3 linked regions of the Macaca fascicularis genome follow. The protein of the gene in region 3 purifies or fractionates together with the protein of the main gene of each other region. This does not show direct contact. Links are inferred from orthologs where the notes say so. Each region holds a gene or a part of one and is shown on either strand. Other genes may lie near its edges.

Evidence for each region. Proteins that work in one complex are often made in the same cells at the same time.
Region 1: the proteins of RBX1 (region 3) and KLHDC3 purify together in Homo sapiens (affinity purification with mass spectrometry; 3 studies listed by BioGRID and IntAct, with this or other methods). This does not show direct contact. The link is inferred for Macaca fascicularis from reciprocal best matches to the Homo sapiens genes RBX1 and KLHDC3.
Region 2: the proteins of RBX1 (region 3) and FBXO7 purify together in Homo sapiens (affinity purification with mass spectrometry; 5 studies listed by BioGRID and IntAct, with this or other methods). This does not show direct contact. The link is inferred for Macaca fascicularis from reciprocal best matches to the Homo sapiens genes RBX1 and FBXO7.

What each region holds. Positions count from the first base shown.
Region 1 is NC_088378.1:128,512,324-128,516,128, forward strand, and holds part of KLHDC3 (kelch domain-containing protein 3), read right to left. Parts: intron 3,332-3,805; 5' UTR 3,273-3,331; coding exon 3,119-3,272; intron 2,946-3,118; coding exon 2,769-2,945; intron 2,613-2,768; coding exon 2,497-2,612; intron 2,321-2,496; coding exon 2,249-2,320; intron 2,123-2,248; coding exon 1,909-2,122; intron 1,833-1,908; coding exon 1,746-1,832; intron 1,603-1,745; coding exon 1,494-1,602; intron 1,375-1,493; coding exon 1,301-1,374; intron 1,175-1,300; coding exon 1,096-1,174; intron 1-1,095. UniProt on the Homo sapiens protein: Substrate-recognition component of a Cul2-RING (CRL2) E3 ubiquitin-protein ligase complex of the DesCEND (destruction via C-end degrons) pathway, which recognizes a C-degron located at the extreme C terminus of target proteins, leading to their ubiquitination and degradation.
Region 2 is NC_088384.1:19,141,920-19,146,936, reverse strand, and holds part of FBXO7 (F-box only protein 7), read left to right. Parts: intron 1-3,310; coding exon 3,311-3,538; intron 3,539-4,467; coding exon 4,468-4,609; intron 4,610-5,017. UniProt on the Homo sapiens protein: Substrate recognition component of a SCF (SKP1-CUL1-F-box protein) E3 ubiquitin-protein ligase complex which mediates the ubiquitination and subsequent proteasomal degradation of target proteins and plays a role in several biological processes such as cell cycle, cell proliferation, or maintenance of chromosome stability.
Region 3 is NC_088384.1:10,678,426-10,684,037, reverse strand, and holds the start of RBX1 (E3 ubiquitin-protein ligase RBX1), read left to right. Parts: upstream 1-1,899; 5' UTR 1,900-1,924; coding exon 1,925-2,002; intron 2,003-4,121; coding exon 4,122-4,200; intron 4,201-5,612. UniProt on the Homo sapiens protein: E3 ubiquitin ligase component of multiple cullin-RING-based E3 ubiquitin-protein ligase (CRLs) complexes which mediate the ubiquitination and subsequent proteasomal degradation of target proteins, including proteins involved in cell cycle progression, signal transduction, transcription and transcription-coupled nucleotide excision repair.

The sequences.
Region 1 (3,805 bases), on a different chromosome or scaffold from region 3:
TGTTTATATATATATATATATGTATATGTATATTCTAGTGTCCAGGCACCTGAGATCTGTGTAAACATGTCAGTCAACAACCCAACCTACCTTTCCTGCTTTGCTTAGAGCCAACCAGACAGCCCCTCCACCTTACTCTCACCAGGAATGCCTCACCCCCACCAGGAATACCCATTTTTGCTCTCAACTCCCATCCTTTTAAGGCTCTGACTCAGCACTCCTATCCTTCCTGAGGCCTTCCCCACCCATTAGACCATGTTATTATTATTATTTATTTTATTTTTGAGAGTCTCATTTTGTCACCCAGGCTGGAGTACAGTGGTGCAGTGGCACAATCTCGACTCACTGCAACCCCCGCCTCCCGGGTTCAAGCAGTTCTCTTGCCTCAACCTCCCAAGTAAGTGGGACTACTGGTGGCTGCCACCACACCCAGCTAATTTTTGTATTTTTAGTAGAGACAGGCCTTCACCATGTTGGCCAGGCTGGTCTCGAACTCCTGACCTCAAGTGATTCACCCACCTCAACCTCCCAAAGTGATGGGATTACAGGTGTGAGGCCGGATGCCCAGCCAGCAAGAGTTAAACTGAACTGATACAAAGAGAGAAAGTATCTCAGAATGACCCAGACAGGAAAAATTATATACAAAGTAACATCTGGTGGTTAATTTGAACCTGAAAAATTATATATAAAGTAACATCTGGTGGTTAATTGGAACCTAAGAATTAAATTCAAAGGGAAGCAGCCAGATCTTCTGGAACCAATGTGATCCAGAGGCTCCTAAACTTGTCTTTACTTTGCAGCTAGGTTCTAAGATTTAATCAGTTCTCAGCATGTTCACAAAAATAACTGTATAAGCTTAGGTCTCAGAAAGTGACGCTGCTGAGCTGGATTTTTTTTTCATATAATTTATTCTGCTGACAGTTTTATACGATGGCTGTCAATTCACCTCCTTCCATCTCATTTCGCACAAGTACATTACATCTCCAGCAGAACAATAATGTCTGTCTCCTCCATACTGAGACCAAGCTAATCAGGTCACACCTGTGCTGCTCACTCACGCTCACCCAATCCCTCCCTTCCAGCCACTCACTGTACCTGATGTCATGAGGCAAACAGGACTGGTCTAGGTTATATTGAATCACGGCCAGTTTGCACAGAGTCTTCAGACTAGGGCCTTTAAGGGAGAAGTTATGGAAAAGAGATGGTCAAAGGTGAGGAAAGGGTCCAGTCCTGGATATCACCACCCAAAGACAGGGACCTTGATGGCAGGAGCAATTCAGGAATAAGTAACTATACTTACTAAAGTCCAAAATGTGTAAGTCAGAATGATCTATGAGGTCAAATTCATCTCCCAGGCCTTCCTCAGGAGATGGACTGTCAGGATCAAAAGAGAGATGAAAGTAGGACAAAAACTACCCATGAGACCCCCTTTTCAAATACCTCCCACTCTCCCATTGGTCACTTCCCTGAGCCCTTCCCTCTCTCTTTCTAACCTGGTACCCCCAAAGAGGACAATCTTGTCACCAACAATACAGCAGCACTGGCGCCGGCGGGGACATGGCCCCTTCCCCTTCGGTTCAATCTTTTTCCAGGTAAAGGACACTGAAGAGAAATTTATATGGAAGTTCAATACCTGCCTAGTCCAGGTATCTTCCCCACCCCCATCCCTCACCTCCTCAGGATTATTTTCTTTTCCTCCCACCTCAATTGCTCCTTGTTCCTGCCCTAAACGCAGTGCTCTTTACCAGGATTAAACTTCCAGAGGTCATGGAAGTGCCGGTTCAGCCTTGCATTATAGCCACCAAAGATGTACAGCTCCCCATTGTAGCCAACTGGAAGGAGAGAGAAAACATCAAGAGTGTGAAGAGGGCAGGAAGGGAACTCCACATGGAAGTAACAAACACTCACAGGCCGAGTGGCTCCGGCGCCCCTCAGGCAGCACTGGAGTCGGGGGACAGTCCAGCCAAGCCTCAGTTCTGGTGTCAAAGACTCGAATGCGGTTGCAGTAAATCTCATTGTTGGAATGGAATGGCCCAAAGCGGTCGGCACGGCCCCCAAAGACGTACATGTGACTTCCCAGCATTGTGGCTGAGTGGAAGTCCCTCCAGCGTGCAGGGTTGCCCTGGGCAGAGGCAGAGAGATGGTGGAGGGGTCAGAACAAAGGCTGGAAGAGGATCTGCTCTGACTGAGCTTCCTATCATTTCTTCAACGGAGGGTGAGGATTTGGGAGAAAAAAGAAAGAGCAGACCTTTGTACAGATAAGAGTCCATGTCATGGTGCTGGTATCTAGCTTGTGAATGTCATTGGAAAAGCAGTCCGCCTGAGTAGGAAGAGAAAAGGAGGAAGAAAAGAGGGAGCCAACAGTCACTCTCTGACCCTCCATCCCTCCCCTCAAAACATGCAAACAAGCCAAAGCCTCCCATTTCACCATCCAAAATTGCCCTTCCCCTCTTTCTCAGTCCCACCCTAAACCTCTTAGTTTATTCCCAGACCTACCTGCTGCTCGTAGCCCCCGAAAATGTACATGATCTTGCCTAGGACACAGGCCGAATGTCCATCCCGGGCCCCAGGAACTGTCCCTGACACTCGGGGTGTGAACCACTTGTGAGTATCTGAAGGAGATGAGAAAATGGCTCAACTAAGCACCCTCTACAACACTCCCTCCTGAGCTCTGGGGTACTCTACTCCCCAAGACCCCAACCCAAACCTTTCTCAGGCAACTGAGGCAACATCTAGAAGGACATAGCCTCTCTGAGATCCATACTCACTGACGTCAAAGGCATACAGCACATTGCAGGCCCCTTCGGTGTCATTCCGCCCGCCCCAAAGGAGGACCGTGTCGTCAATGAGGACGGTTGAGTGTCCATAGCGCATGTAGGGTACGACAGGAGCTTGCCCACGGATGGCAGACTTCACCGGGGGCAGCTTTGTCCAACGCAAGGACACTGTGGACACAGCTCTGCTCAGCCCTGGGAACTTCCCTCCAGGCTGTCCACCTTTCCCAAACCAGATGTTCGTCCCCAATCCCCTTGGTCCCAGAGACCACAGCCAAACCTCATCAGCAGCCCGTTTCCCACCCTGATGTGGGGACTCAGGGACAGCCCCAGCACTGGCTTACCTGCATTGAAAATGTGCACATCTATCTGACGCAGCGTCTCATAGTCTTCACCAGAGCAGTAACCCCCGAAGGAGTATACCCGATGCCCGACAGCCACTGCAGCATGGTTCACCCTGCGGGGCCCGCCCTCCAGGTGCACTGTCCACCGTAACATCCCCTGGACCACTGGTTACAGCAACATGCCCCCCCGGCACGGCCTGCTGCCTCTGCTACCTGCACACAAATTGGGGCCACAGGATCCTCAGGCAAGGCTTCTGCCCAGCTCACTGTGACTCCGCCCAGAACCAGCCTTTGCCTCCAAGTGTCACCCTGGTGGCCCTCCCACACTACCCCTCCACAGGGACACTAGTCACAGCTCAGGTGGCTGGCCCTGCCCCAAGGGAGCTGCCGAGGTCAGGGAGCTAGCCCTGGCCCAGTGTTCTCCAACAGTGAAGGGTGGGGCCACCCCCACTTGATTGCCAGCTCAGAATCTGCTGATTATGGTCACCACCTACTCGTGGAGGCTCCACTCTGTCCCTGGCTTGGCACAAACTTGAAGCCCCTTCCCAAATGGTATATTCTCTTGTCTCTGCTCTGCTTACTGCCACCTCTCTAAGAATCTGTGTTCTTTAAGGTGGGGAAAGGGATCTCAAAATACTCACAGCTATTAATAGCCCAGCCAGCCTCAGACAGTCCATCGAAAGCTGG
Region 2 (5,017 bases), about 8.5 Mb from region 3:
TAGCCCAATAGTTTTCTTTAATTTCTTTGTATTGATTATCTGATTATCTTTATTGCCTTGTACATGCCTCATCATTTTTCCCACTTTTTTTTTTGTGTGACAGTGTACCACTCTCTCACCCAGGCTGGAGTATAGGGCATAATCTCAGCTCACTGCCACCTTACCCTTCTGGAGTCAAGTGATTCTCCCACCTCAGCCTCCCAAGTAGCTGGGACCACAGACACCACCATGCCTGGCTAATTTTTGTATTTTTGGTAGAGATGGGGTTTCACCATGTTGCTCAGGCTGGTCTTGAACTCCTGACCTCAAGTGACCCACCCACCTTGGCCACCCAAAGTAATGGGATTACAGACATGAGTCACCATGCCCAGCCTTTATCCGACCTTTTAATTGTTTGAATGGTGCAGATGATCACTTTTAGTTTTTTAATACCAATACACGTGCCATCTTGTTAATTGTTTTTTGTATGTACACTTATCACCTCAACTTAATTGCTGACCTTAAACATTTTTGGGTATAAGTATTCATGGTAACTTGTCATGGCATTAAGTATAGACATATTAAAAAATACTTTTTAATAGATTGGTAAGTTGTGAAAATTATATCCAGATATGTGGATTTTAGTTTATTTTTAAAATTATTGTTGTATCAGTGTGTTTCTGCCTCACAGAGGTAAACTGGGGAATGAGTAAGAATATTTTGCTGTATATTTAAATTATGTTTCTGAGTCTTTTTTGCTGATAGGCTTGTTCTGGGATAACTTAGTAGGGCCCATTACTTTTACTTCTGTGTACTTTAAAATTGTCTAGTAAGATGAAACTTTTCATAGTATTTGTGATAGTTTGCTAGTTTCCTTTTGGAAAATTTTGAGAAATTAATGTTGCTTGAAGTTACTAATTTCAGTTCTAAGATTTTGCATATTGTTTTGTATTCCAAGACCTTAAAGGGTGACAGGAAAACCTTAAGAGTATGGAAACTGAGCTCGAGATCTCATAAATAATGCTTTTAAGTACATTACACTCTGTAATGTAGAATGGAGCATTAGAAAAGGAAAATAGATGCGTAAAACTTGAAACCATAGGAGGTAAATTTTACTCTTGTAATTAAATATCAATTTTCTTATTTCGTCATATTTGGGAATTCATCCAGTACCTCTTGAGTCTTGAATGAGAAACGGGTAGCAGGTATCAGAATATAATATTAGCTCTCATGCATCTTAGTCACTTGTTTTAGTCTTTTGTAAATGACATATGGCAAAATGATCTGTTCAGAGAGGTGTGGTGCTCATCATTTTTTTTTCATTTTCACACATGTGAAGAATTTGATAAATACTCATATCAGAATAGCCCAGAGAATGTCAGTAGTTCCCATAGAGTAGGAGTAAGGTTTGACAAGCCCAGCAGGGGATTTTGATATCTCCCTCTCATGTACTTCAGCCTAGGGTAACTCTTTTTCATTTTTCCACATATATTCTGTCCCACACAACTGCCAATAAGTAGTAAGTGGCCAAAAGTTAGACATAGTGGTAAAGAAGCAAAACCTATTGTTCCATAGTTTAGCTTGATGTTAAGTGGTTTTTAATATAGTTGTTTCTATTTTCTCAGGAAATACGGAAATATTTTTGTGCCATACCTCATTTTTGGGTAGTGTGACTTCTCATTGGCCTCTAGGTTTTTACAAGTGACTTTGGATCTTTTCCATAAGCCACAGGTCTTGGGTCCTCAGAGATTTTGGAAGAACAGCTGTCACCTCTGGCTCCCTTACATTCCTCCAACCTTTTACATATACTGTGTAATTTTAATTTCCTTTGCCCCTTCTTTAATGGAAATGCAAACCCTAAAAAGAAGAAACTTATGCTTTGCATTAAGAGTTGGGCATATGCCTAGGAAACAAGCTTTCTGAGCAAACTTAATACAGGTAACTTAGTTTTTTTTTTTTTTTTTCATCTCAAAGTCCTGAGCTGCAAGTTTGGAGATCTGGGTTCGTTTCAAATTTTTATTAGTTGATAACCTTGATTATGTTATTTAATCTTTCAGATTTATAATTACAGGATCTATAAAAAGGCAATACCTGCCATGCCTGTTTTACAGGATTGTTATAAGGTACAAATAAGAAAACATTTTGAAAATAAAGACATTATGAAGTTGTAAGGTATTATCCTTCAGCATTTGTTCAGCAGACATTGAATACCTGCTTTGTGCTAGGTACTTTACTGGGGTTACAAAAATGGGTGACATGTAGTCTGTTTTTTTATAAGCTTGTAGTCATGGAAGGACGCAGATATGTAATCAGAAAATTGCAGTACAGTGCAGTGTGATAAGGTTAAATAATCAAGGCCGTTGTAAGGCAGAGTTGTGGTCTGTGTTACCTCTTTTGAAGAAGTGGAGAATATTGGGGTGAGTAAGAAGGCACTGGCAGAAAGTGAACTTAGTAATGAGTCAGAGATCAGGTGATGAAGGACTCTGTATGCGAAGGGAATTAGAAGTTTGGGCTTCATTTGTAGGCCTGCATTTCTCAGTGTCCTCTGAAAATCTAGTTTCGTGAGGTGGTGTTACAGGGATGCTGACTGGTGAAGACGGAGTTTTTTGGTAAAGTGTTATGCACACACTATTATTATTGTTATTAGACTCCTCAGTGCTTTTGTAATGCAAATATAGTATTTTGTGAATATGGAGGGTGAAGTTAGGTGGCTGCAGCATGTAGCATTTTCCACACTTATTCCATGTGGACCACCTTTTTTCCTAAGAACATCTAAGGCACAATTGAGGGAAATGCTGTTGTCTGCGTTGGGGAGGTACTGGTGAATTTTAAGCTGGGACATAGTACATGATCGGATTTTTAATTGTCAAGAAAACTCTGGCAGCAGGGGATGGGATGTATTGGAAGACAACAAAGTTGAAGAAGGGGTACTTGCAAGGGAAGCTCTTGCTGGATGTCAGGAAATACATGATGAGAGTCTGAAGTACCAATGGAGCAGGAAGGGGCAACTTTTAGACATGTTTAGGAGTTAGTTTCAGTGGAACTTTGAAGACTGATCAGATTTGGGACAAGGTTTAGTTAGGTAGAGGGAGGAGTCTAGGATGATTTCCAGGTTTTTGACATATCGGCTAGAATTAACAGGTGAGGAATTGAGGATGGAAGAGTAGGTCGCAGGCTTATTTATTTATAAGGACTCACTTAAAATGTCTCCCATTTCTGAACCCAGTGATGTACTTTGACTTTCAGCACTTAGTTCACGTTAGGATACAAAAAAGTATTGTGTAAAAATAAGTCTTTTTAATTAATTCGTTGTTTTGTTTTCCTTTTTCAGTTAGGGCCTAGTCAAAATTTTGAAGCTGAGTCAATTCAAGATATTGAGGATATGGCAGAGGGCACAGGTTTCTATCCCTCAGAACCCATGCTCTGTAGTGAATCGGTGGAAGGGCAAGTGCCACATTCATTAGAGACCTTGTATCAATCAGCTGACTGTTCTGATGCCAATGATGCCTTGATAGTGTTGATACATCTTCTCATGTTGGAGTCAGGTTACATGCCTCAGGTAAGTACTGCAAGCAAAACACAAACATCTTATAATTGCTCATACATGTGGATGGTTCCTGCTGTCAAGTTGCCCATAGTCTGAGAGTGGCAGAGATAGACAGAAATATAAAGCATTGTGCTATATTGGTGAAGTTCTGGGAGAGACATATTCATATATAGGATGCCAGGAATTCATGGAGGAGAACATTTAGAATATTGCTTCTCAAACTTTAATGTGCTTTGGAATACCTGGGGACCTTATTAAAATGCAGATTCTGATTTAGTAACTGTAGAATGGACCATGTACTTCTTCATACTCCTGCATAATACCAATGTTGCTGGTCTGAGAGCCATGTTATAAGTTAAAAAGATATAGAGTAATTCGGTGATCAGTGCACACCTGCAGCATGCCATGCACTGACCCAGAAATTAGGATATAAAAACATTGGGATATTTCCTGTCCTCAAGGAGTCCATACATAAATAGAGGAGAGAGACAAATAAAAAGATAATCAGAAATAACACAAGTAAACATAGATAATAATACAGTTGAAGTGTAATGGAAATATGAATAGACTGTTAGGGGACGAAAGGAAATGGCAAAAAATTTTTCTTTGAAAAAGGCTTTACAGAGGAAGTGATATTTGATTATTTTGGAGTTTTAAATAATCATATGGTTTTGCTAGGCAGAGAAGTGAGTCTTGGAAGAGAGAGATCAATCCCTGTTTCCATATTGCAATTTTACCTGTTTGAACAAAAATTTTGATTAAAAGTGTTGTAATATATTATCCTACAATATAAAATATAATGGCAATATTAATGATGCATTGTATTAAGAGGACTATGTGGAATGATTATTTCAAACAAGTTAGGAGTCTTTTGGATTTTTAATCTTTTTGAGAGTAACACCTTTCTTCATTATTTGTTTCCCTTTCATTTCGTTCCCCAGGGCACCGAAGCCAAAGCACTGTCCATGCCGGAGAAGTGGAAGTTGAGCGGGGTGTATAAGCTGCAGTACATGCATCCTCTCTGTGAGGGCAGCTCCGCTACTCTCACCTGTGTGCCTCTGGGAAACCTGATTGTTGTAAATGGTAATTGAATAGCATAGTCATGGTTGCTCGTTTATGGATTCTTAGACGTTTCTTTCCAAATGTTTTATAGCCACTTCAGTGATTGGCTATCATGATACAGTTGTGAGTCCTTCTCAACTTTATTGAATTCCTAGACCACTGATAACATGTGTCTGGAAGATTATAGAGTAAGAGGTTGTTGGGTTGTTTAGGCCAGCACCCTTCACTCTTAGGGCATCCATTTTCTTGATGTCTTAATCTTTGTAATATTTTGCTCTGGGGGGTAATATTTAATATTATCCAATATTATCAATATTTGATAATATGAGTGAAATGAGCCTATTATACATGAACTCTTTGGAGAATACTTTTTCTTTATCCCTGTGGATGGCTTTATTTTTTTAACGAAGGTCTTGAACTGAGACATGG
Region 3 (5,612 bases):
TTTTTCTTTCCAAGTCTGGATAAAGCTGTGGTGGTGTTTTCCCGGATCTGTTGTGCCTGTTTATGACTAACAAATAAACAAATGGCAATTCTTTCTCTTTTATTATTATTTTTTTGGGAACGGAGTCTCACTCTGTCACCCAAGCTGGAGTACAGTGGCTCGATCTCAGCTCACTGTCACCTCCGCCTCCCGGGTTCAAGAGATTCTCCTGCCTCAGCCTCCCGAGTAGCTGGGACTACAGGCGCGTGCCACCACGCCCAGCTAATTTTTGTATTTTTAGTAGAGATGCAGTTTCGCCATGTTGGCCAGGCTGGTCTCGAACTTCCGACCTCAGGTGATCGACCCGCCTCGGCCTTCCAAAATGCTGGGATTACAGGCGTGAGCCACCGCGCCTGGCCAATTCTTTCTCTTTAGCAATAGTGTCAGCACACTCCATTACTCTCCAGTTATCTTTTAAGAGAAAATAAAAGGCTTCAAATCACCTGTACCAGATCTAAGAGTGCTCTGGCGGAGTCATACCTCTGCAAGGTTAGAGATGTCAAAGGGAGTCCTGGTCTAGCGAGAAATGGGAGAGTGACACAAAGTACAGGTGCTTGGGTCGGGCGCGGTGGCGCACTCCTGTGATCCTAGCACTTTGGGAGGTCGAAGTGGGAGGATCGCTTGAGCCGAGGAGTTCGAGACCAGCCTGGGAAACAGAGTGAGACCTTGTCTCTATTTAAAACAAAAAAAAATCGGCTCTAGCCTGTAATTCCAGCACTTTGGGAGGCCGAGGCAGGCGGATCACCTGAGGTCAGGAGTTCGAGACCGGCCTGGCCAACATGGTAAAAACCCGTTTCTACTAAAAATACAAAAGAGCCGGGCGTGGTGGCGGACACCTGTAATCCCAGCTACTAGGGAGGCTGAGGCAGGAGAATCGCTTGGACCCGGGAGGTGGAGGTTGCAGTGAGCCGAAATCGCGCCAGTGCACTCCAGCCTGGGCAGCAAGAGCGAAACTCCGTCTCAGAAAAACACCCCAAAAAGTCAGAATGCTTCACAAAAATTAAAGAAATACAGCGACTGCAGATGGGTCGGTTTCACTATAGCACAAGTAGCGGAAAGAGGACACAGACTGGGGAGAAATCACCCTACACAAGATGACAACTGAGGAATGAGGAGTGGGGACTGACACACGCCACGGTGAAACCGCGCACCACGACCAAAGGCGGTCCTAGGACTGCGACTAAGCGGGCGCAGAGGCCACCCTCCAGGCTTGGCGGGGGGATGAGGGCAGCACTGGGGGCCTGCTCAGTCTGGCCTTAGGGAGGACCTTCGGGGCTCTCCTCTCTCCCCATCGATCCCTGAGCAGTTCCCGAACAGAAATCGGAGACCAGACGGTGCCTGGGCCCCAGCCCTCCCACGCGGACTGCGCCTTGGGCCTGGCTCGGAGGTGGGTCAGAGTCTGCGAAAGACCAGCGAGGGCTCTCAGGTTTCGGGGCAGGCGGCGGGCGCCCACCCCGGCTAGCAATGGGAGTCGCGCGGCGACCGGGCGAGCCCGGTAGGCAGGACAGGACTGCGGCGCAGGTCCGACTCAGGCGGAGGAAGCAGCCGCCGCCCCAGCTGATGGAGTGCGGCCGGGGGCTTCCCAGAGGAGGCGGCGACCTCGAGCCCTTTCGAACGTTTCTACCAGGCTAGCTCACGTAGCCTCGGCCCCGCCCGGCCCCGCCCCACCCACTCCGGCCACCGCCCCCTCCCCGGCCGACACTTCGCGGGTGGGGCGACCTGCGATAGCCCCTTTAAGAGGCGTGGTCACGTGCTCCGCCCCCACCTCCCCCACGCGCGCCAGTAAGGGGTGGGGTGCGGGAGGAGGTGCCGGGGAGGCTGGGGGAACGAGGTGTGCGCTGCTGCGCAGGCGCGGTGGTCGGACGACAGACCGTGTGTTTCCAAAATGGCGGCAGCGATGGATGTGGATACCCCGAGCGGCACCAACAGCGGCGCGGGCAAGAAGCGCTTTGAAGTGAAAAAGGTTGGGTCTCGCCAGCGCCTTCCTCAGGGAAGCTAGAGAGGCGCGGATCTGGCTGGCAGGCCCGAGGATGGTCGAGGCGCGGAGTAAAGGGTTTCATTTTAGGGCGTTCCTGGGACCGGGTACCACGAAAGGAAGTCGGGGGGCGGGCCTTAGAGTTGATCGGCGTGACGGCGGCCCACTGTCAGGGGAAGTGTTGGTTTCGATGTGAGGCTGAGGGGCCAATCACAGAGCTGCTTGTTGAGATACGCGGGGTTGCGACTTGGCGGCGGGAGCCAAGCGCCTGAGCTGTCACTGGAGTGGTTGAGAGGTGGGGGAAGGTAGGGTGGGGTGGGGTGGGGTGGGGTGGGGTGGGGTGGGGTGGGTGGAATGGGGAGTCAGAGCGACTGCGGCGGTGGAGGATGGGGCAGTGCGGCGAAAGCCTGGAACCTGAGGTCCTACCGCATTGGAGGCCTCTGAGGAGCCCCGCTAGTGATCTTGCTCCGCCCCTTTTTGAAGCTTGCTTGGGGTCCTCTCACTTGAAGGGATCAGACTTGTTCCTCGCTGAACCGAGGCCTCCATTAACCCCATCTCTGGGCCTCACACCGCCGAGTTAGAGTCTGGAGTGTAATGCTTGGGTGTTCTGAGACGTCTGTTGGCTTTTCCCACAACCACCCCACTCTTGGATTCTCTGTCACGTTCAGAATCTCCCCCTTCCGAAATAATAATAAAAAGCACGGTGGAACTTGTTAAGAAAATCCGAGCCCAAATCCTGTGGCATTTCGGGAGGGTTGAGTAGTAGTTGCGAATGACTTGGTAAGAGGGGAAAGCAAAAATGGAACGTGTCTTTTGCATGAAATGCATTTTAGTGGTTTGCCACAGTTTGGGAGAAAAGTGTCGATTCCCACCTAACATGAAAACTATTCGAAATGGAGATTCTGAAATAGGGAAGATATTCCTGGAACATCTGGCTAAACACTGACAATATCCCCCCCTCCTAGTGCTTTTTGGTGTCTCATTGTGGCCACTGCTGCTCAGTTACAGCCAGCCATATTGAAGAATAATAGAAGTAGGGGCTTTTCCTCCAAGTTGAAGCTGTGATGTGAAAAGTGGTGAAGAAGTTACTAGGCACTGAGACTGGGGTTTGAAAGCGATGAAGGTTTGGGAGTACTTGTAATTGAGGAAACCAGAGTTGAATGAATGAAATGCCACTTTTAGTTAAACTCTTACTGGAATTATTATCTTAATAGAAGAGTCTAAACATATAAAAGTTCAGAACATCAGTTTATTTTATGGTAAGAATCGAACAAAATTCTAGTGAATTGTAGAATTTGTTATGAAGTAATCTAAGATTTAAGTGATGACCTTGTTCTGTGTACTGACATGGGCAGTTAATTATCCAGCTTATCCCACGATTACCCGTTTTATGATCCAGTCATCATCTTAGTTCATTCTGTTCCCTAGCTTTCACTTCATTGCTCATGCTTCCAAAGCTGCCTGGAAGAGCAGATACTTATTCAGATTTTGAGCGCTTCTGCAACTGCCACCAAAACCTGCACAGAAATTCAAGTTTGTGCTTTTTTTTTTTTTTTTTTTTTAGATGGAGTCTCACTCCATCGCCCAGGCTGGAGTGCAGTGGCACGATCTCGGCTCACTGCAACCTCTGTCCCCCAGATTCAAGCGATTCTCCTGCCTTAGCTTCCCAAATAGCTGGCATTATAGACACCCGCCACCAAGCCTGGCTAATTTTTGTATTTGTAGTAAAGACGGGGTTTCGCCATATTGGCCAGGCTGGTCTCGAACTCCTGACTTCAGGTGATCCACCCGCCTCAGCCTTCCAAAGTGCTAGGATTATGGGCGTGAGCCACTGCGTCCGGCCAGACTAAATTGTTTTAAACTACAGGAAACAAATTAAAAGATGACATTAATTTATGTGTTCATATACTCAGTCTTTTGGAGAATAGGAGAATGTATGTGTTGTCTACTGTTGTCTTTGGTATAATAAGATTAACATAATATCCAAAAACTTTTGTTTGGTGGTTCCCTGTGGCCAGAGATCATAACTACAACTGCAGCCTGAAGTCCTAAAAACTGTGTGTGTGTTATAAGGAGAATGCATTGTTCCCTCTTTTTGTCTTTGCAGTGGAATGCAGTAGCCCTCTGGGCCTGGGATATTGTGGTTGATAACTGTGCCATCTGCAGGAACCACATTATGGATCTTTGTAAGTAATTGGAGGAGGATGGGAGGAAGTTGAGAAGGTTGCAGAGCTTGTGGCTATCTTGATGTGACCGATTTTCTTCTTCACAAGCAGATATCAAGCCTACTCTGAGCACTCGGTCTTCTGTATCTAGTCTTTTGGTGTGTTTGAAATAGAGTAGTTTTTTTATGATGTCCTGGAGGCATACCCAGCTTTCAGAATAAATCTACTCAATCTAAAGATGGCAGGGACACATTTAGAATTAATTGTGGACAACAGGCACTGTTGATTCTTCCTGCATATCTCCCATCTTGTACCTAGACTCAAAGGTAGAAATACTGAAAGGAGGAAAATAAACTTTGAGCTAAAATATTCTATCTGAGGCGAGGCGTGGTGGCTCATGCTTGTAATCCCAGCACTTTGGGAGGCCAAGGCGGGCAACATGGTGAAACCCCGACTCTATTAAAAATGCAAAAATACTCTATTAAAAATGCAGAAATTAGCCGGGCGTGGTGGTGCATGCCTGTAAACCCAGCACTTTGGGAGGCTGAGGCGGGTGGATTATTTGAGGCCAGGAGTTCAAGACCAGCCTGACCAGCATGGTGAAACCCCGTCTCTACCAAAAATACAAAAATTACCTGGGCGTGGTGGTGCATGTCTGTAATCCCAGCTACTTGAGAGGCTGAGGCAGGACAGCTGTTTGAACCTGGTAGGTGGAGGTGGCAGTAAGCTGAGATCACACCACTGCACTACAACCTGGGCGACAGAGCAAGACTCACAGTCTTTTTTTGAGACTCAGGGTCTCAAGAAAAAAAAAAAAAAAAGTTTTTGAGACTCAGAGTCTCAAAAAAAAAAAAAATGTCTATCTGAGCTAATTTTTGCTGGTCATTGTTTACAAAGGAAAGAAGCCTAAGGAGTAAGTATTTTGTATGTTAGGCCCAAACATAATAAAAAGGAAATCATTGCCAACATCTAAATAGGTAATTGATTGCACTAAAGAAATTTCATTTAAATCTCCACATATTTTATTACATGTAGTGGTCAGCACATAGTGATCCGATTATAGTCTTTGATGGACTGATTTCCTGTCCTTATAGTAGAAGGAACAAGAATGTTGATCACACCAGGAACAGTAGAGGTTACTTTTTCATCCGGGAACTAAAATGATTTGTTACTGAGGCCAGAAATGGAGGAAAGAAACTTCAAGTTTCTAGAATTGGAATTATAGGAACTTACTTTTCAGATCACTCACCTGCCTTTACAACTTCATCTTGAGTCACTCCTGCTCACTCTGTTAGTTTACCTGGACACTTTTTTTTTTTTAAACTAACTATGGTGGCCAAAGCAGCCATGGCCCCTGGCCAGTTTTCCTTTTTTTTTTTTTTTCTTATTTTGAGATGTAGTCGCCCAGGCTGGAGTGCAGTGGCGTGATCTCA